6 linked regions of the Xenopus tropicalis genome follow. The protein of the gene in region 1 purifies or fractionates together with the protein of each later gene. This does not show direct contact. Links are inferred from orthologs where the notes say so. Each region holds a gene or a part of one and is shown on either strand. Other genes may lie near its edges.

Region 1 (2,939 bases):
TGTCAATATATAACATGTCAAGGACTGCTCCCCACTGAAGTTTGACAGCCACATAGCTAGTACACTTTAAGGGCTTTGGCACACAGGGAGATTAGTCGCCCGCGACAAGGGAGATTTGTTGCGGGCGACTAATCTCCCGATGTACCAAAGCCCTTAAAAGTGTACTTGCTATGTGGCTGTCAAACTTCAAACTTTTTCCTGTCAAATCTCCAGGAAATGCCATCCCACCGGTGAGAATGTAAATTGCCGGTGGGATGGCATATGCAGTGCTGCGATTTCCATTCTCGCCGGTGGGATGGCATTTCGGGGAGATTTGTCGTGGGCGACTAATCTCCCCATGTGCCACAGCCCTTAGTCCCAAGTGTCTAGAAAGAAATGGCATCTTGCAGATTAGTAATGGATAGATATGCACTCTGTAATAAAATTGCAGTGAAATATCTGCTACTTGTGGTACAGGAATTAGTCTGCACAGTGGATGTACTATGTAGTGGCAGCTGTACTACACATTCTGACCAACTAGGCAGAGATGTACAGATTCTTCAGTAACTGGGAAAAAACTAAATATCAAGCCCCACTAATTAATCATATCTGCTTCCTAGAGAATCAATTTTTCTGAAGCTTAAAGGAGAAGGAAAGGCTAAGTCACTTGGGGGATGCCAAAATGTTAGGCACCCCCAAGTGACTTTAATCGCTTACCTTGTACCCCGGGGCTGGTGCCCCTGTTAGAAGAAAACCGCACCAGCCCTGGGTAGCTGTAGCGGAGCGCTTCCTTCTTCCGTGTTTGCTCTGCCGGCAAAATACCTGAGTGAAAAGGTGACTTCTTGTTAAAGTTCAGCTTTTCACCCTACTGCGCATGCACGAGCGCGAACAAGGAAGAGGAAGCGCTTGCTGCAGGCACCCGGGTTGGTGCTGTTCTCTCCAAACAGGGGCACCAGCTCGGGGTACAAGGTAAGCGATTAAAGTCACTTGGGGGTGCCTAACATTTTGGCACCCTCAAGTGACTTTGCCTTTCCTTCTCCTTTAAGGAAGAATCAGTGTGGAGCCGAACAGTAGATTCTGACAGAGAACATTTGTAACTGCTTTGTCTCCATCTTTGTTTAGGCTGATGCCCCCAACTCAGGCCTTATACCAGACGCAGATGCCATTGGTGTAACAGTGGTGCTTATCACATGCACATACAGAGATCAAGAGTTTATCAGAGTGGGCTATTATGTTAATAATGAATATACAGAAACAGAACTGCGTGAAAACCCTCCTGTGAAACCAGACTTTTCCAAGGTAAAGAATTTACAAACTCTGCAATAAATAGTTTGAAAAACAACTGCCAGGTGATGTAATGTTTATTTTGCATTGTTGGGACTTCACATTGCGGATCATGATCAAATGGCACAGATGCAGAAGTGTCACCTAACTGCAGTAATATGGTGCACAACACAAACCCACTACAGTGGCTTCTAATGCCTTCCCATCAGAAATAAAGTGAATCACCGGTGGAAAGGCTTCCGCACCTCTAACATTTCCAAAGTCGCATGTTGTTTCCTACTGCAAACAGAGTCGAGGTCGGCCTGAAAAAGCAAAAGCAGGCATCTTCAAGCCAACCTCTACTGCGTGTGCCTGCATGGTACATACAATTTTACTTTTATGTCCAGGTCAATGGAGCTGGTTAAGGGAGCCGTTCCGCTTCTCTCAGCCTGAAAAAAAAAAAATGCAGGCTGAGGGCAGTGGAACCAACAGTCCATGTACCCTCAACCTAAAAGGCTTTCAATTATCATTTAAATCATTTACATTTTCTCTCTGCTGCAGCTTCAGAGGAACATCTTGGCATCAAATCCTAGAGTAACCAGGTTCCACATAAACTGGGAAGAAAATACAGAGAAGCTTGATGAACTTGAAGATAGTAATCCTCATCTGCATCCAATACTGTCAATAGAAGCCAGACCTTCAGCTTCAAAAGGATGGCCTATGTCAGAGAACTCTTTAAATGTCATGCTAGAATCGCACATGGACTGCATGTGACTTTACTTTTACATCTTTCTACTTTCAAGCCAATGGGAAAATTGCACTTTGCAACACTATTTTCCAATAAATAGGACACCAGGAAACATGTCCTTGGCAGAAACCTTTATCAAAGGGTGGAAACAAAATGTGAACTAGGGGGAAAAGTTTTTAAAAAATCTATTTTTAATTATTTTTGTTTCTGCTTAAGGCAGGTATCTATCAGCTATTTTCCAAACTAGTTAGAACATGCAACTGCAGCACATTTTGCTATTTATTTGGAGATGTATTGTTTTCTGATATTTTGCTGAAATAAATCTATGCTTGATACCACAGACCTGACATATGCACACTGTGGGCCATCCACAGTACATCCTATTTGATTACATAAAATCTATTTCAGATGGATTCTATTCTTACAACAAATAATGCCTTTATAGTTTACTTTCTTGTTAAAAGGTAATTATTTACCAGTTTTGGTTTTATAAACAATACATGTTTTGCATGGTTTTTCTTTTCAAGCGAAAACCAGAGGGTGTTATATCTTTAAAATTTTACAATTGCTAATGCCAAGCAAGCAGTTGGCTATTTAGCCATTCGATATAAAATAGTTTCTTCTACAGTCGGGAAAAAAATATGCAGTCCCTTTGTAAACAACTCTAATCCAGTATTAAAGGACAATGAAAGGTTAATATAAATTAAAAGTAAATCTAAACGCATTCTTTTTAAGTACTTACTGCATATCTAAATTCCCAGATCCCTGCTTGCCTCTCTGAGATATGGTGCTGGCAGCCTACAGCAGTTAGAAGACTACAGTGACATCACTGAAATCTCTTTCCCCTTCCTGTAGGTGCCAGCGGCAGCCTTCCTATTCTCTGAGCATGTGTGTAACTTGATCCTGTCTCCTGGTCTGAGATACACATGCCCACCAGCCAATCAGAAGC
Region 2 (3,521 bases), on another chromosome or scaffold:
CCATGTCTCAGTACAGAAGAGTATGTACTCTCTTAAAGAGTTTGATAAATTTATTCTAATCTGTACGAACAACCCACAGTGCTGGTTTCAGTTCCTAATGGGTCGCCCGTATGGGGTATCTTTTTACTAGGAACTTGGCACAGCATGATATTAGTGATGTGTCTTCGATATTCTGCTGCCACCCTTCCAAATATTATAAGAATCCCCTATGTTTAGCAGGGATCATGTATGCCTCTGAAATCACATGACATGGGCAAGTATCTGGACCAGTAAAAATGCCCATAGAGCCAGCCCATTAATGGCATACAGCAAATCAATATAACTGGAAGGGAGTTTGTATCTGAGAGATTAACTTAGTGGCCACTTGGTTGTACTTAAAGGAAAAGTAGAATTGGTAACTGAAGATATGTGTCAACAAGGTAAGGCAATAATTCTATATTACAGAAAGAAAACAAACAGCATGGCTTTGTGAAAGAATAAAGGCTGCGGCACTCCAGATGTTTTGAATGCAAAAACCATTATTTTAATGATGGCTTTAATATTTTGGTGTCACTATAAGTACATATTTTTGCTGATACAAGCTACATGGACTTTGGCAACAGTGTACCCTGCACTGCATAATACTGAAATATTTCCCTCCTCTGTTGTAGATGGCAAATCCAGTGCTAGGAATTGTTAAAAGTGATGGTGGGCTTTAATGATCAATTTCCCTGATTCCTAAGCCTTGGATTCTTAGATTTTCATGCCCTGGGTAACATTTGCATGGCCCTGGAAAGTTAACTAAGTGCTGAGAGAGCCGGGCAATTCCAATATTTACTGCACGTCGGCTCTAAACGCAAACAGGTCTATCATTAACAAAAGGCAGCTGAAGATTCCAGCCCGGTGGAAGTTCAAAGAGTCCAAGAGAACCATGACTGTAACAGTACACTGAGAACTGTACTAAGATTGCAGTCTGTTGGCAATATCAGAGAAAAGCTGAAGGCTATAGTGTGAAAGATCAGCGGCCATGCTTGTGATCTCTACGCCTGAGCAAGCCGCTCCACTATCCGCCTGTATTCCTCCACCAGCTGCTGATAGCTCTCCTCTAACTGCTCATGCTGCGTGTTTAGATCGATCTGGTTCATCTGGTTGGTCAGCTCTTCTGGCCGGAGGCACTGTTTCATCTTAGCCATCTCTCTCTGATTTTTCTGTGTAAACAAAGTTAAACAGTACAAATAATTATTTACCAATATACACAAAGCCACAAATAAATCCCCAGTTCTTTGAAAGAGGTCAACTTTTTAATCTGTCCTCCTAAATCTGAATAGGGATCGGCCTGCTTAGTCTGATAGCTGCAAACATAGTGGACCAATACAGGACCGGATCTAGTGGGCACGCAAATAAAACCCCTTTGCCAATTATAACATGATTCGATCCGATTATCAGCAACAGGGATGTCAACCTGGATCTGAAGGGCCACCCCTGTTCTGCCCCAGCCCTGCCTACTACTGTGCTCCCTTTTTCATTGCTTCAGATGGATTATGGAGGACTTTGTCTGAATATTCTATGAAAAGTGCAAGTTAGGTTTTGGGTGTGTATTATCTCTAGCAGGTGACTGAACTCTTCCTGTGGGCGATCAAGTGAGCGGCGTTTAAATCAAGGTGACTCCCCAAAAAACTGAAATCCATCTGCAAAACTGTTATCTTTCTGCATCATTTTAAATCCTGGCAGGAGGGACTAAAACATTAATGATACAAATTTTAAAAACTTCTACACAGCTTACACACAGCATACAGGAACTACATAACCCACAATGCATTGCACTGTGATGTTCCTTTCCTTATTAACATCACGTGTGCAGGGAATTGTGGGATTAGGAGGATGCAGGCTGAAGGCAGGCTGAGGACAGTCGACTACTGTTACATTTTATTTGAGTCTTAAAGTAGTCAGCCAGATCAGCAGGGGAACAGGGGTTGCATTCTCCTGTGTTCGGCTCTTACATGCGCCTGTGTCAGTACAACCCCATAAAAATGAATGGGGTGTGGTTCTCCCAGAAACACTCCCCTGTATGACCCCCTAAAGGGGTTTTTCCCCTTAAAATAACTTTTAATATACTGTAGAGAGTGCTATTCTAACACAATTTGCAATTGGTCTTCATTTATATTATTTGTGTTTTTTAAATTATTTTGCTTCTTGTTCAACTCTCCAGTCTGGAATTTCCGCACCTATTTGTCTAAATTACCCTAGCAACCAGACATTGGTTTGAATGAGAGACTGGAATATGAATAGGAGAGGGACTAAATAGAATAATGAGTAATAAAAAGTCACAATAACAATAGTTTTTGGCTGATGTGGGTCAGTGACACCATTTGACAGCTGAGAAGAGTCAGAAGGCAGTTGCAAATAATTTAAAAACTATGCTAAATAAAAAATGAAGACCAACTGAAACATTACTAAGAATTGGCAACTCTATAACATACTAAAAGTTAACGTTATACATTTTGTTCTATTCAACAATAATCTACAAAAAATAAATCTTTGTTTTGCAAAAGGTGCCTTATATCACCAAGATTTACCCCATTACCCCCCCAGATCCTCTGCTGATATTCATTAGTACACAGACACAAACTTATGCTGAGTAAAATATAAGAATGCCAAGAACACATTCCCTAAATACATACACTCGGTACAGATGTGACAGGAAATGGGGCTGTTTCCTCTTAAAATTACATCACTTAATCACTTGTCAGACGACAGTATGGGAGAACAGGACTGTTTTTCTATGGGTTCCTGATTGCGCAGGCAGGGAAAACATCTCTGGAAACTATTTACTTGTTGTGGGATAGTTAAAAATAACACTTTTCTAAATGAGTGAAAAATAAAAATAAGTGTGACTGTTACATTTTCATGTCTACAAGACAACTATGCCAAAAACAAGCAGTTCAAAGGCCAATTAGCTGTTGTTTTTAGCTAAATGAAGGCAGTTTGTAACTGGGTATTGCCTCCAGTTCAGTGTTAATAGGATACTATTTGTGCAATACATATAAGAAGTGCCCTAGATGTGCAGTACTGCTATATGTAATGTTGAGTTTAATCACATGCACATATTGGGGGTTATGTAATAAAAAGCACTAAGTTTCCCTGGGTGCAGTAACCTATACCAACCAATCAACAGGTAGCATTTACTGGTCACCTGTTTCAAAGCAAAAATCTTATTGGTAGCTATGGGTTACAAACTTAGTGCCTTTTATTACATATGGGGAATTGTGCCTTATAAAGGGAATGGTCTGTGTGTGATCTCACCTTAGGTTACTAAATCTAAAGTATTTATTCTGTTTGATCCCTATGTTTTTATAAAGGAAAATAATAAAGGACTTTTATTTCAACCCACTACTTCCTGGAGAATACATATTAGGGAAAAAGATCAGGTAAGAGGATTACTTTTTGTAATGTACCAAACAAACAACAAAGCATAATATATCTTTTATACCATGTCAGTATTTTTATCAACTAGCAAGAGATCATTTTGTTTGATGATGAGA
Region 3 (3,930 bases), on another chromosome or scaffold:
GATCAGTACCAGAAATACAGCACTTCAAACTTCTACCTTTACCAAGAAAAGACCATCTGACATGGCCTATAGGTTTTAAATGGATACTATCATCACAAAAATCAACCTTATTTTGCTTGTACTACAAATTGTATATAAGCAGTAAAGTGCTACATTGTCAAAATTCCCGGTATTATTAATATTATTTCAATGTCCATTTTTTTCCTTTCTGCTGTATCACCTAACCTTTATCACCCCAGTGTTCTAATGTAGTTCTGTCACATGTCTTTTCAGTCAAAAGTTATCATACTAAAGGAACAGTAACATCAAAAAATGAGTGTTTTAAAGTCGGGCTGGGCGATATACCGTTTAATACCGAATACCGGTGTTTTTTTTTTTTTTAAAACTATATTCATTTTTCAGATACCGCAATACCGGGGTGTCAGGGTACTCACCCGTGCGGGCCGGTCTCGCGCGCGTCCCGTTGTCCGCGGGACGTTGCGCACGCGCGGCCAGGTGCGCGTGCGTCAAAGCACACGTACATGTCAAAGCGTGCACGTCCGCGACGCGCTGACGGCGCCGGTTCTGCGCATGCGTGGGGGGTATTTAAAGCTATCAAACGCCTCCTCCTGTGCTATGTTGTCTGCGGCCTTGCCTGGGAAACTAAGCCTGCCTGATTTACCTTACGACTTTCTTGTTGCTGATCCTTCGCTTGCCTGACTCTGATTTTCAATACTGCAGTAATTATTCTCTAATTTATTAGGAAATGGGGTTAACACCTAATCATGCATGGAAAAAAAAAAAAATACCGTCAAATACCGTGAAACCGATATAATTTTGAAAAATACCGTGATATAAATTTTTGGTCATACCGCCCAGCTCTATTTTAAAGTAATTAAAATATTATGTACTATATTCTTGCACTGGTAGAAGTTGTGTGTTTGATTCAGAAACCCAACTAGAGTTTATATAAACAAAGCTGATATGTAGCCACATGGGCAGTCATTCAATCTGGAAAAAAGGAGAAAGTGCACTGGTTACATAGATAACAGATCAAATCTTGTAGATTGTAAGCTCTTTTGGGCAGGCCCCTCTTCACCTCTTGTATCGGTTACTGATTGCTTTATATGTTACTCTGTATGTCCAATGTATGTAACCCACATATTGTACAGCGCTGCGGAATATGTTGGCGCTTTATAAATAAATGTTAATGTAATAATGTAATTCTGTCCTATGTGTTGTCTGCTACGTAACCTGTGCTTTTCTCCTTTTTTCAATTTGAATGGCTGCCCCCATGGCTACACAGCAGCTTTGTTTATATAAACTATAGCACGGTTCCCGAAACAAACACACAACTTTTACCAGTTCAGGGTAATAGTACATAAAATAATAATTACTTTGATACACTTTCATTTTTTGGTATTATTGTTCCTTTAAATGCAGGGGGTTATAAATTGTTCTTTGGGTCTTGTGTGATAGGTCTTGAGGCTCAAGCAAATTGGCCAGAAAAGGTAGCAGAGATTTATTGCAATTGCAGACGACTTACATCCCCGTGCGGCATTAGCCTTGTTAGTTGTAATCATGTAAATATGATGAGCTTAGGGAAAGGCTAGGCTGATTTGCTATACAAAGGGATGATTCCACCAAAAAATCTGTTCTTTAACAGACTATATGCCCATTTTTCAAAGCAAATGAACAATACCTAAAACATATAATACACCTGGCACTTATTACCAGTTTTCATAGTACTTTCATCAGAATCACTGAAGAATACAGATTAAGGGAACAATTTTTGATGAAAGAAACAAGGCAAAGTCACTCTCCTATTTTAATGAAAAGGCAAATAGACATTATTGTTAGTAAATAATTTCTCTTCATGATTTGATTTTCAGTATAATGCCATGCTTGGAGCTAACAAATGTAGTGTAAGATGTGGGTACAAGCTGCCTGCTGATAATTGAGAGCTCCCTTTCTGCAGCTTATGCACTGGTATTACATGTACAACTGCAGTTTATGCACTGGTATTACATGTACGACTGCAGATTAGAGGCTGTCAGTGCCAAACAGGAAGGCCTAGGATCCCGCACGTCTCACCTGTCCAGCGACTTCCTTGGCCGCAACCGGGATCCGTCCTGCCCTCTGCTCTTTCTGCAGCAGCTCAGGGTAACTAAATTCCGCACAGCCCTCCTCTGTGGGATCAGTTAGTGCCAACTCCAGCCTCACAGTCCCTGGCACTCGGGGCCGGTCAGCCCCCTCGGGTTTGGCCAGTACATGACAGATGCCAGTCTCTATGGCAGGAGCCGTGGGTTCCCGTTGCAGCCGGTGAGCCAGCGCTTGCTGGGAAGGCCTGTGCTGTAGCATGGCTTGCTGTGCGGCCCGGGGCTGCGGTGGCCTTTGTGCCGGCGGCTGCAGGGGAGGTGGGGTTCGCTGGTGCTGCTGTTCCACAGTCAGGACTGGGCCGGTCTCGCGTGGTTTCATGGGTGACAGACTTACAAACGGAACCCTACGCGGCTCCGCCATTCCTTCCTCTCTCACTCACACACACAGTCTCTCACAGCTGCCGAGAACAATTTCTTTCGCGCGTCCTGCGAGTTCCTCCGGTTTATTCACAGTCCCCGTACCAGGTGCAAACTTGCCTTCCGCTGGTGACGGCTCCCTTATTATTGTTTCCTAGCTGCTGCTGCTACCGCCGCCACCTCCTGCCCCACCGCTTTGGCCTCTCTATGTGCCGCTGCCATCTTGGACCCCACATAAATAATAACAGGTCCACTTACTATGGCGCATGCGCGCCTGGGAGCTGGGATGTGGGCGGGTACCTCTACGTCATTACGCTACACGTGCTGCCTTCTTCGCGTTTGTTTTACATTGTACGAAATCTACGCATTTTACGTTTATTACGGTTGTCATGGTAGCAAGGACGCGGAGCTCTGATGGGCTAGTGATTTAAAGGTATACTGCCATCAAACTGTAAAGGCTTTGCTTGTGGTTATGTAGTGAAAAATGTACCCCCTTATTATAAAAGATTATATAGGTCACCAGGAAGACGGTATAAAGGCAGGGGGGCTGAAGGCAGGGTGCTTTATACCTGTCATGGAACTCTGAAGTAACTTTATTAGTGTTATTATTAAACAATAAATTGGTGTATTCATTAAACATACAGGAGAACATACAATACAATCAATAACCAATACATTAGGTAAGCAGGCCCCTGCTCAAAAGAGCTTCTAATATTGTGGCTATTTTACAGCAGGGGGCACTTATAATAATACACATGTTTCAGGGAGTCATATGACAGAAATGACATTACTAAGCACCAATTATAATTGATGACATCATTATGCACCATTTATAAGGATATGATTTACACAATATTCACATAGGGCTGTCACCTGTCTGGTTTTGACCTGGAAAGCCCAGTTTTCAGAAGGGTTGCCCGGTTCAAAACCTCCTGCCTGGTTTCCCAAATAAGGAAAACCGTCAGGATTCAGTAACTGACGACAACAATCACCTATCGACAAGTCATAGCCCCACCTCTTCCCCGCCCCCTGCCTGGGTAACAGAGCCAGCAGAGGTGGCAACCTCATATTCACAGCTCTTCTAAAATATATTGTGAATAATGTACCTCCTGTTGTATAATGTAAGGATACTGTTAGTCACTGGGGAGTTCCATAACCTAACTGATGATATTACTATGCACCATAATCTACAGGATATTCATGGCCCCTTTGTGTTATAATGACTTATATACTCTATAGTTGTAAATTAGTTTGTGGAAATAACACTTTGGTTATATATTGAAAAAAATCAGGGAATAGGCTCCAGGCTGCAAACCCATTAGAAGGGTAAACATGCATACACTCAACCCATCTATTTATTTGGTTCTTATTCCTGGCATCATATACTCCATTAGAGCCTGGCTACAACAGACACTTCCCTGGATGTGCTTGGATC
Region 4 (4,030 bases), on another chromosome or scaffold:
CGGTATATGGGGGGCTGATCAGTCGGTAATTGGGGGGCTGATCAGTCGGTATATGGGGGCTGATCAGTCGGTATTATGGGGGGCTGATCAGTCGGTATATGGGGGGCTGATCAGTCGCGTATATGGGGGGCTGATCAGTCGGTATATGGGGGCTGATCAGTCGGTATATGGGGGGCTGATCAGTCGGTATATGGGGGCTGATCAGTCGGTATATGGGGGGCTTGATCAGTCGGTATATGGGGCTGATCAGTCGGTATATGGGGGCTGATCAGTCGGTATATGGGGGGCTGATCAGTCGGTATATGGGGGGCTGATCAGTCGGTATATGGGGGGCTGATCAAGTCGGTATATGGGGGCTGATTCAGTCGGTATATGGGGGGCTTGATCAGTCGGTATATGGGGGGCTGATCAGTTCGTATATGGGGGGCTGATCAGTCGGTATATGGGGCTGATCAGTCGTATATGGGGGGCTGATCAGTCGGTATATGGGGGCTGATCAGTCGGTATATGGGGGGCTGATCAGTCGGTATATGGGGGGCTGATCAGTCGGTATATGGGGGCTGATCAGTCGGTATATGGGGGGCTGATCAGTCGGTAATGGGGGCTGATCAGTCGGTATTGGGGGCTGATCAGTCGGTATATGGGGGCTGATCAGTCGGTATATGGGGGCTGATCAGTCGGTATATGGGGGCTGATCAGTCGGTATATGGGGGGCTGATCAGTCGGTATATGGGGGGCTGATCAGTCGGTATATGGGGGGCTGATCAGTCGGTATATGGGGGCTGATCAGTCGGTATATGGGGGGCTGATCAGTCGGTATATGGGGGGCTGATCAGTCGGTATATGGGGGGCTGATCAGTCGGTATATTGGGGGCTGATCAGTCCGGTATATGGGGGGCTGATCAGTCGGTATATGGGGGGCTGATCAGTCGGTATATGGGGGGCTGATCAGTCGGTATATGGGGGGCTGATCAGTCGGTATATGGGGGGCTGATCAGTCGGTATATGGGGGGCTGATCAGTCGGTATATGGGGCTGATCAGTCGGTATATGGGGGGCTGATCAGTCGGTATATGGGGGCTGATCAGTCGGTATATGGGGCTGATCAGTCGGTATATGGGGGGTGATCAGTCGGTATATGGGGGCTGATCAGTCGGTATATGGGGGGCTGATCAGTCGGTATATGGGGGGCTGATCAGTCGGTATATGGGGGGCTGATCAGTCGGTATATGGGGGCTGATCAGTCGGTATATGGGGGGCTGATCAGTCGGTATATGGGGGGCTGATCAGTCGGTATATGGGGGGCTGATCAGTCGGTATATGGGGGGCTGATCAGTCGGTATATGGGGGGCTGATCAGTCGGTATATGGGGGGCTGATCAGTCGGTATATGTGGGCTGATCAGTCGGTATATGGGGGGCTGATCAGTCGGTATATGGGGGGGCTGATCAGTCGGTATATGGGGGGCTGATCAGTCGGTATATGGGGGGCTGATCAGTCGGTATATGGGGGGCTGATCAGTCGGTATATGGGGGGCTGATCAGTCGGTATATGGGGGGCTGATCAGTCGGTATATGGGGGCTGATCAGTCGGTATATGGGGGTGATCAGTCGGTATATTGGGGGCTGATCAGTCGGTATATGGGGGGCTGATCAGTCGGTATATGGGGGGCTGATCAGTCGGTATATGGGGGGCTGATCAGTCGGTATTTGGGGGCTGATCAGTCGGTATATGGGGGGCTGATCAGTCGGTATATGGGGGTGATCAGTCGGTATATGGGGGGCTGATCAGTCGGTATATGGGGGCTGATCAGTCGGTATATGGGGGGCTGATCAGTCGGTATATGGGGGGCTGATCAGTCGGTATATGGGGGGGCTGATCAGTCGGTATATGGGGGGCTGATCAGTCGGTATATGGGGGGCTGATCAGTCGGTATATGGGGGCTGATCAGTGGGGGCTGATCAGTCGGTATATGGGGGGCTGATCAGTCGCAGTCGGTATATGGGGGGGCTGATCAGTCGGTATATGGGGGGCTGATCAGTCGGTATATGGGGGGCTGATCAGTCGGTATATGGGGGGCTGATCAGTCGGTATATGGGGGGCTGATCAGTCGGTATATGGGGGGCTGATCAGTCGGTATATGGGGGGCTGATCAGTCGGTATATGGGGGGCTGATCAGTCGGTATATGGGGGGCTGATCAGTCGGTATATGGGGGGCTGATCAGTCGGTATATGGGGCTGATCGTCGGTATATGGGGGGCTGATCAGTCGGTATATGGGGGGCTGATCAGTCGGTATATGGGGGGCTGATCAGTCGGTATATGGGGGGCTGATCAGTCGGTATATGGGGGGCTGATCAGTCGGTATATGGGGGGCTGATCAGTCGGTATATGGGGGGCTGATCAGTCGGTATATGGGGGGCTGATCAGTCGGTATATGGGGGGGGGGCGGTACTCACGCCGGATTTCCCGCTCACTCATTCTCAGCCCGGTGCCGGTGCCGGTGCCGGTGCCGGTGCCGGTCACACAGTTCCCAGTTACTAATCGGACCGCAGGTGACGTCAGAGCGTCTCAATCACGTGACTTTCGGCGCTTTATTCAAATGAGGAGTTTTTCCCGCCCCGTGAAACTATTTATAACGGGAGCGGCACTGCCCCGGGGCTGCTGAGAGGGTTCGTTCAGCTACACACGGACTCCTGAGGGAATCGGTACAACATTGCTACTGGCAGGGAAATGGGAGATTTGGCTCCACACAATATCCCGGGTCTCTGGCAGAGATGGGCGGGGTTATACAAGCGCTGTACTTGTGCCGGGGCATGATGGGAAATTAGCTTCGTTAACATAGCGATATCGCGCAAGGCATGTCGGGATTTGTAGTTCCTTAGGGTTCCTGTGAGGAGCGCAGGGGCTTGTACATTCCCGGGATTCTGCCGGGAGGTGATACGTTTGGGGCAGGGGGAGAGTGTGTCTGGCACCCCCGGGGGGGGGAGAGTGTGTCTGGCACCCCGGGGGGGGAGAGTGTGTCTGGCACCCCGGGGGGGGGGGAGAGTGTGTCTGGCACCCCGGGGGGGGGGAGAGTGTGTCTGGCACCCCGGGGGGGGGAGAGTGTGTCTGGCACCCCGGGGGGGGGAGAGTGTGTCTGGCACCGGGGGGGGGGGGGGGGGGGGGGGGGGGGAGAGTGTGTCTGGCACCGGGGGAGGGGGCAGGGGGAGAGTGTGTCTGGCACCCCGGGGGGGGGGGGGGGAGAGTGTGTCTGGCACCGGGGGGAGGGAGAGTGTGTCTGGCACCCGCGGGGGGAGAGTGTGTCTGGCACCGGGGGGGGGGGGGGAGAGTGTGTCTGGCACCGGGGGGGGGGGGGGGGGGGGGGGAGAGTGTGTCTGGCACCCCGCGGGCGGGGGGGGTGGGAGGAGTGTGTCTGGCGGGCACCGGGCGGGCGGCGAGGTGTGTCTGCGCACCCCGGGTCGGGCCCGAGAGTGGTGCTCTGGCACCGGGGGGGGAAGGTGTGTCTGGCACCGGGGGGGACGGGGGGGAGAGTGTGTTCTGGCAACCGCGCGAGGCGGGGGGGGGGGAGTGTTCTGGCACCGGGGGGGGGGGCGAGAGTGTGTCTGGCACCTGGGGGGGGGGGGGGGGAGAGTGTGTTGGCACCGGGCGGGGGGGGGAGAGTGTGTCTGGCACCGGGGGGGGGGGGGTGGGGAGAGTGTGTCTGGCCACCCCGGGGGGAGGAGGGGGGAGAGTGTGTCTGGCACCGGCGCGGGAGGGAGAGTGTGTTCTGGCACCCCGGGGGGGGGAGACGTGTGTCTGGCACCCGGGGGGGGAGAGTGTGTCTGGCACCGGGGGGGGGGGGGGGGAGAGTGTGTCTGGCACCGGGGGGGGGGGGGGGGAGAGTGTGTCTGGCACCGGGAGGAGGGGGGGGTGCATGCAGTGTGTCTGGCACCGGGGGGGGGGCGGGGAGTGTGTCTGGCATCCGCGGGGGGGGGGGAGAGTGTGTCTTGGCACCGGGGGGGGGGGGGCGAGAGTGTGTTCTGGCACCCCG
Region 5 (3,500 bases), on another chromosome or scaffold:
AGACAGATTCCAAGAATTGTATGACCTCAAGCTGAACACATAAATGTCAACATTTTATCATTTAAAAGGCCTTTTCTTTAAAAAGTTAGTAGTCCAATCTGACACCTCGATCCCAGCCTCACCATGTAATTAATCAAGTAAACAGCCTTAAAATTTGTCCCAGACATATCAACCAATCAGATCAGATTCTTTACTTTCATAATTCTGTGTGGACTAGACTGGTAAAATCTAACTGGTCACTGGCTTCTGTGGTTAGTGAACCAAAGCAAACATTCTCTCTGTGTTACTCCATGAACACTTAAAAATAAATGCACACTGACAGGGGCTTGTAAGGAGGAAGGCAGAGTTATATCCAATGAGTAGCAACAGGTAATATATTTGACAAGAGAGAAACAAGTGCTGTGCTATGCATGCTTAAACCTGGGGACATGAACTTTCAACCATGTACACACACAGACAGACAAAAGCTCACAACCACATACAAACACACATTTGCTCACAGAATGGCACCAATGGCCCATCTCTGACCTGCTTATGCAAGTACAAGCGCGTGGCCCATTTTACCAGAGTGTCTTTGCCACAGGGTAAGACTGATGCCAGATGTGAGAAGACTGCCAAACGGAGAGAGGAGCTCAGTTCCCGGGATAATAGATATATGCTGTGGGAACAGAAAATTCTGGTTAGTTGTTGTAGAAGCACTTGGCTTATAGTTTAGAGTTTTTTTATGAGCAAACCATAATTTAACACATGTAAACTGTTTGCAGAATTTACCGCACTGTGTGCAGAGGAGGAGTAGATGTCAGTAAAGGTTAATATGAAGATGGGAGTAGCGATCAGTTAAGGGAAAGATGAGTGGGGGTTGGTAAAGAAAAATGTGTAGGAGTAGGAGTGAGCATCAAACGATTGTAGAAGGAGGAAGGGTTACTAAAGAGTACAGTTATGCAGTACAGTAGACATTATTAAAAAAGTATCACAATGCAGAATAAAGACCCCCCCCCCCCCCATCTATCATTACGGGACTACTCAGGGTTGAGTGCTCAGGGGAGGATCTTGGGTAAGTAATGTGCTGTGTTTGTGGAAAGTGATACTTACTCAAGCAGAGCGCTGTTCATCTCCTGGGAGAATAACAAACCTTTCTTTTCACCCTCTGATGCTCTTACAGCCTAAAATTAAAAAAAAAAAATCTGTGGGTTGCATTACTGCTAAAAACCATGATGGTGACGGCACGGCTAAAGGCGGATGGAATATTTTTCATCAGCCAACAATTGGCCTGAATGCATTTTTACCAAAACTAAAATAGATAATTTTACTGACCTTTGTCAGCTCCTTGATCCTTTTCTCTAGGGCGAAAGGTAAGCCTTCTGGGAGAGATGCAGGTGCTTTAGTGGCCTGCTCTGATGCTGTCCCACCTTGGACTCCATGCTTTTTCTCGGGCAGGGTGTTGGGTACATTCTCTATCGGCTTCTCGCTTATGGAGTCTATGGCACTGACAGCTTTGAGCAGCTCAGACACATGAGACGACATGGTGGGATCAGGGGTCAGCTCAGCCTCGCGTGGAGTTGGCTTTGGAAGAGTAGGCTGCTGGCTAATGCCGGAGGGCTTGACGGTGGGAGTAGGGGTTGGTGGTGTGATAATGGTTTTTTGAGCATTTTTCTCTTGCTCAAATCTCGCCAACATCTTAAAGATAGAGTGCTTCTTTTTCTTCTTATCTTTTGTACCATTTAAGGCTGTGAATCTAAACATAAAAATGTCCAATTAACCTTCATCTCTTCATGACCACTCACTGAATCAACCATGCAGAAATATGAGCAGGTCCCCTTCAATCCTATTGGACAATCCCTTAAATACAGTGGTGTTGCCTAGTTGCAAAAAAGCATGGTGGGATGTGGCCCATCAAAAGTAGCCAACGATAAAATCTATAAGGCATAGCCTTAGGAAGAGCCCCTTTTAAGTTTGCTTATATTGCATATATATATTAAACTATCCCAGCATTCTTATTTTATCCCTTTATATTAAGCACAACTTTTCAGGAAATTGTATATACTGTATATTTGACCTTTAATGATACAGTTTCTTTGCATTTTTAAAACGTGCTGTGGCAGTCTTAACCAAAAACTAGCCATGATATGTTTCTATGGCTGGAAGCAGGTGATCTGCTCGTAGATCAGAAACCCCACTGACTACACAGACAAGCAGAAGAGGGATGTGTTTGTACCCTGGCTTTGGATGTTTGTTTTTTTTGGATTTCTTATCCTCTGCTCTTTTCTTCTTCTTCACTTTTTCACCCCTGTCCTTAATTTTCTGTGGAGGCAGAAGCAAAACAAAAAACAGGTCATTGATTGATGCAACTGGGAAGAATGCCTGTAACGTGAGCTTTACCTTGGGTGATTTCTTCTTCTTTTCCTTGGAGGCTTCATCTTCTGACTCAGATGCCTGCCTGAACTGCAGCGTTCCTGAGTTGATGTAAAAGCCCCCGTACTTGGTTGACAGCGAAGCAGGTACTAGCTCATCATACTAAAAGGATACAATAATATACATGTTTACCTCTGGCAGGTTTTCACTTTACTTACGGATTGGATTCAGAACATCTAACTTTACAAGTTTTGGGTAAATCAGTCTGAGCTGTCATGTGTTGACTGTAAGAGTTTTACTTGTTTATACTTAACCAAATGTGTTTTAATAAAAATGAATTCCTATTATAGAGTCAGGGGGTATTTATATTTTCTCTTTATTACATGTTTCTTACGCATGGTCAAATGAGCCAGCTCTGGCTTATAGCAGAGTAAATTCAATAGAAGCCCCCTTTCCCCCAACAGACTAGGGGCACTTACAGGCTAAACTGTTCATCCAAGCACTTACACATTAACACGCAACACCTATGTAAGTATTTATTCATTGTGCATGTATAATATAGATGTTTATTACATATGGCTGCTTCCACAAGTGATTTGCCTTCCTCTTCTAACTTTTAAATGGGGATTACTGACCCCAGTAGCTAAAAACTCATTGCTCTGTGAGGCTACACTTTTATTGTTACTTTTTATTACTTATCTTTCTATTTAGGCCCCACTCTATGCATATTCATGTCTCAGTTTCAAACCACTGCCTGGCTGCTATGTTAAATTGTGCCCTAGCAACCAGATAGCAGCTGAAATTACAACTTGGCGAGTGGCGGAACAAAAAGCAAAAATACTTCAAAAACTGCAAAAAATTAAAAATGAAAAACTGCAAATTTAATCCCATGAAAACCTGGGCATAATAACTTGCTCCTTTATAAATTTGTAACTCACCGCCTCAGAGTTGTCTATAAAAGAGTCCGACTCGTCGTACCCATACCCCATGTCAATAAGGTCCTGCATACGATCCCTGCGCCTCTTCTTGTTTCCCTGGGAACATGGAAATATGGCTTGGTAACTAACCGATGCACAGCCTATTGATTTGCTTGCATTTGCCATCTAACCTTGAACCCCTCCTCCTCTGACCTTGGTGCCAATGACCCA
Region 6 (3,500 bases), on another chromosome or scaffold:
AGAGAAACAACATAAAGCTGCTAGAATGGCCCAGTCAGTCAATCACCCAACTTGAACCCAATTGAAAATCTATGGAAAGAACTGAAGACCAGAGTTCATAGAAGAGGTCCCCGGAACAGTCAAGATTTAAAGACAGTTTGTGTGGAAGAAAGAGCAAATATCACACCTGAGTAATGCATGTGGCACATGAGGCACCTTGAAGCTGTCATTACCAATTTTCTAATTTGTCACATTTACTAAGAAAATTGTTCACATGTTCAATACTTATCTTCCCTGCTGTATAAGGTAAACAACCTACAATTTGAAGAATTCTTACCTTACCACTTGACTGTCCCCAGGCCTTGATTTGTGGTGAGGCCACAAAGGCCCGGGTGGCACAAATTTAGGGGCGGAATGCCGCCCCACAACGAAATTTTCTCCTGTACGGAGCAGGGACGTCACCCCACTGTTCTGTATGGGAGTTTAAATGCCCACACCAGCAAGCTTGCGAGGGGGGGGGTGTTTCGCCGGGGCACCCGAAACATAGGAGAGTGCAGACTATAATACTGTTCTTCACCTCAAATTTGTTTTTAGATCTATTAAATTCCACCCAGTGCAAGACGACCCTTTGCTATAATACTCACTCCAGGGCTTCAAGCTTCTCCTTTTTTTTCTCCTCCTTTAGTCGCAACTTTTCTGCCTTTTCTCGGTCTTCTCTCTCCTTTTTTTCCTTCTTGTCCCTTTCCCGCTGCTCTCTCTCATCGTCCCTCTTCTTCTTTGCAAGTTCTTTTGCAGCCCTTGCATCTTCTCTAGCACGCTTTCGCTCCTCCTTTTCAGCTTGCCCCTTTTCTTCCTTACCCTAAGGATAACGAACGGAATGACAAAATAAGACAGCTGTTTTGCTCGCAAATTTCTGGTTGTGCATGAATTATATTACAGCATACTATAAAAATGGATAGGTAGTTCTCAGAATTTTAGGATTACGTCCACACCATAGAGGTAGAGGCAGAACACTGACTTCATCGGACTACTACATCTAGGTTGTTGTATTGGTAGGTGTTATACTAAAGCCTGCACACACACTGCTGGGCTAAACTTACACGCTGTACACTTGTGTTCATGTGCTGCTGCATAAACAGGAAGCAGGACGTTAAGGGCATCCAGTGCTCTCAAGGGATATAAATTCTGTGTGTATCTATAATCTGCCTCGTTTTTACTCATTTTCCCCCTGATGAAGACCCCATAAATATGCAGTTGGCAGCTTTTTACAGCTATTTTGTAATGCAATAAAAGTTTGCAGTTCTATATTTTTGGGTATGTACAATACAGCAGATATGAAATTAGCTGCTCATTCTGTAAATTATAGGTTGGGCGGTGGGGTGTAGATCAGGAATACTTCCAGAAGTTGGAGCTACACCTCGCACTATAGCTTACATGTTGGGTGCACTTGAATGTAGTAGTAAATAGTTTAGGTAAGCAGGAAGGCACACACTTGATCAAGGCACACCAGATAGAAAGTTAAAATAGGTTTTTATTTTGATTATTTCTAAAATTGGTTAAAATAAACTGAAAGGGGAACAGGAAAGGTTAAAAGAGGTAAAGCCCTATGTTTGTTAGAATAGAGAAGGTTTCGCTTTCACTATTGCAACATTATAACATTGTTGCAAGTGGAAATTAGATTACTATAGTTGCTACTAAGAAAACCTTTATAAAGATTCTACAAGCCTGAAATGAATAGGTCACACCGTATCAATTGTTGGAAGTTTACATATGTTGGTGCAGATTTCCTACGGTGCGTAAAAGATTCCTCACAATAATGCCTCAGGGATCATTTATCCGCTTTCCATCATTTACACAAATACTTTCTAAATATAGATGTATGGGAGTTAAAGTTCACATTATTCTACCATACTCCAGTAATTAGCTCTCTCGCTGCAATATTGGAGAAAGGTAAATGTTTTTAATACGTATCCACCAGTTAGGTCTTAATTTCACCACAGCACTAGGAGGGATTGAATTGCCGATTACAGATAAATCTAATTTATTAATGCACTATATGCAGAGCTCGATCAGAGGTTAGCCCTTGTTTCAGTGTTCTAATCAAGTACTTTGGATTGATACACTGGGACAAAATTACCCTTTATTCTCAATTGAACGAGATGGCTCACTATATTGGTCGGGAATTATACCAAAAAAGCAAGGCGGGGGTCAGGCTAGTGGATCGGCTATTATCTTAAACGGACGGTAAGTATCATGTGCAGAGGCTTGATATACTACGCACTGATCCGTTTATCACAGAGAGCTAGTTATCAGTACTTTGGGCTACCGGATACACTTTTTTTAGGCTAAACGGTACACACCATCTTTATTCCCAATTAGACAGGGTAGCTCTCTGTAGTGCCCGGAAAGTATGCTACGTAAGCTGAACAGGGTTCAACCTATCAGTTCAGCTATTAACTTAGCAAAAGAGTCAGTATCGTATGTGCAGTCTTAATATACATCGTGCGGGGCCACTTATCCTAGCGGGCTAATTATCGATGCTTCAAGCTGGCAAGTGCATCCTTTTTTAGTTTGTTCAGTGCTATTTATGCTGCTCATGCATCGACAAACCCGGAAGTAACAGATTTTTTCACTGCCGATACTCCACAGCCAGCCCGGGGACTACTTACAATTACAATATACCGCTAGTCCCGTCCGGCAGGCCGCCTATATCAGGCATTATCCGCAACTGCTACTGTGCTTGTATGCTAGTCAGAGGTACAACTCTTAAACTCTCCGATCGTGCAACAATGACGATATGACCCCCGCTCATACACCTAAATGTCTCGGTGCGGTCACCTTATTCAGGCATAATTACTTGGGGGTATCATTAAACCTGTCAAAGCTTAAGCTCTAAAAAGCGGCTATTTGTATCCCTTGGCAGCCATAAACTGGTGCCGTCAACATTAACTGTCCCTATTCTCTTCAGTGCCTGTCATTGCCATTAATTTAACATCAGTACAAAGATCAACAAACAAAGGGCTTAGGACGCCGACACGCGTTTCGCATATGCTGCTTTCTCAAGGCGAACTGAAACTGAGCTTTGCATTTTAGCAACCTTTTTGCGGTATCTCTTTAGTTTACATAGAAGTGATCAAGCTAACTTTAACTTTATATAGCAGTCCACTTTTCCTTGTAATTCCACTTCAACACGATATAGAGCTCTAAATACCAACAGGAATAAAAAATGTTTTAATATTTTTCATAAGAGAAAAAATAGGATATAGACAAAAATATAAAAACTATTTTACGGAGATTTCTGCATTGTATAAAATAAAATATCCCCTTAGCCTGATACCCATTGCCAGTTACTGCAGCATGCTTACCTGTATACCTGAAGTATAAATTCAGACAAATGAAAATATTTTTCTAACTACAAAAATGTAAATTTACAGTGTTAAAAAGTTCAACTCAGCAACTTACCCATGCAAACACACAACTGTTACCAGGGCAGGGTGTATTAGTACATAATATATTATTAC

The links.
Region 2: the proteins of asf1a (region 1) and hat1 purify together in Homo sapiens (affinity purification with mass spectrometry; 4 studies listed by BioGRID and IntAct, counting the BioPlex papers as one, with this or other methods). This does not show direct contact. The link is inferred for Xenopus tropicalis from reciprocal best matches to the Homo sapiens genes ASF1A and HAT1.
Region 3: the proteins of asf1a (region 1) and ubn2 purify together in Homo sapiens (affinity purification with mass spectrometry; 3 studies listed by BioGRID and IntAct, counting the BioPlex papers as one, with this or other methods). This does not show direct contact. The link is inferred for Xenopus tropicalis from reciprocal best matches to the Homo sapiens genes ASF1A and UBN2.
Region 4: the proteins of asf1a (region 1) and tonsl purify together in Homo sapiens (affinity purification with mass spectrometry; 4 studies listed by BioGRID and IntAct, counting the BioPlex papers as one, with this or other methods). This does not show direct contact. The link is inferred for Xenopus tropicalis from reciprocal best matches to the Homo sapiens genes ASF1A and TONSL.
Region 5: the proteins of asf1a (region 1) and ubn1 purify together in Homo sapiens (affinity purification with mass spectrometry; 6 studies listed by BioGRID and IntAct, counting the BioPlex papers as one, with this or other methods). This does not show direct contact. The link is inferred for Xenopus tropicalis from reciprocal best matches to the Homo sapiens genes ASF1A and UBN1.
Region 6: the proteins of asf1a (region 1) and chaf1a purify together in Homo sapiens (affinity purification with western blotting; 3 studies listed by BioGRID and IntAct, with this or other methods). This does not show direct contact. The link is inferred for Xenopus tropicalis from reciprocal best matches to the Homo sapiens genes ASF1A and CHAF1A.

What each region holds. Positions count from the first base shown.
Region 1 is NC_030681.2:73,630,910-73,633,848, forward strand, and holds the end of asf1a (histone chaperone ASF1A), read left to right. Parts: intron 1-1,101; coding exon 1,102-1,278; intron 1,279-1,803; coding exon 1,804-2,016; 3' UTR 2,017-2,439; downstream 2,440-2,939. UniProt on the Homo sapiens protein: Histone chaperone that facilitates histone deposition and histone exchange and removal during nucleosome assembly and disassembly.
Region 2 is NC_030685.2:67,566,726-67,570,246, forward strand, and holds the end of hat1 (histone acetyltransferase type B catalytic subunit), read right to left. Parts: intron 1,188-3,521; coding exon 1,020-1,187; 3' UTR 501-1,019; downstream 1-500. UniProt on the Homo sapiens protein: Histone acetyltransferase that plays a role in different biological processes including cell cycle progression, glucose metabolism, histone production or DNA damage repair. Coordinates histone production and acetylation via H4 promoter binding.
Region 3 is NC_030680.2:114,756,116-114,760,045, reverse strand, and holds the start of ubn2 (ubinuclein-2), read right to left. Parts: upstream 2,801-3,930; 5' UTR 2,500-2,800; coding exon 2,074-2,499; intron 1-2,073.
Region 4 is NC_030682.2:152,183,646-152,187,675, forward strand, and holds the start of tonsl (tonsoku-like protein), read right to left. Parts: upstream 2,801-4,030; 5' UTR 2,479-2,800; coding exon 2,457-2,478; intron 1-2,456. UniProt on the Homo sapiens protein: Component of the MMS22L-TONSL complex, a complex that promotes homologous recombination-mediated repair of double-strand breaks (DSBs) at stalled or collapsed replication forks.
Region 5 is NC_030685.2:14,418,055-14,421,554, reverse strand, and holds part of ubn1 (ubinuclein-1), read right to left. Parts: intron 3,387-3,500; coding exon 3,291-3,386; intron 2,515-3,290; coding exon 2,216-2,514; intron 1,736-2,215; coding exon 1,315-1,735; intron 1,164-1,314; coding exon 1,093-1,163; intron 659-1,092; coding exon 529-658; intron 1-528. UniProt on the Homo sapiens protein: Acts as a novel regulator of senescence. Involved in the formation of senescence-associated heterochromatin foci (SAHF), which represses expression of proliferation-promoting genes. Binds to proliferation-promoting genes.
Region 6 is NC_030677.2:93,808,671-93,812,170, forward strand, and holds part of chaf1a (chromatin assembly factor 1 subunit A), read right to left. Parts: intron 839-3,500; coding exon 624-838; intron 1-623. UniProt on the Homo sapiens protein: Acts as a component of the histone chaperone complex chromatin assembly factor 1 (CAF-1), which assembles histone octamers onto DNA during replication and repair.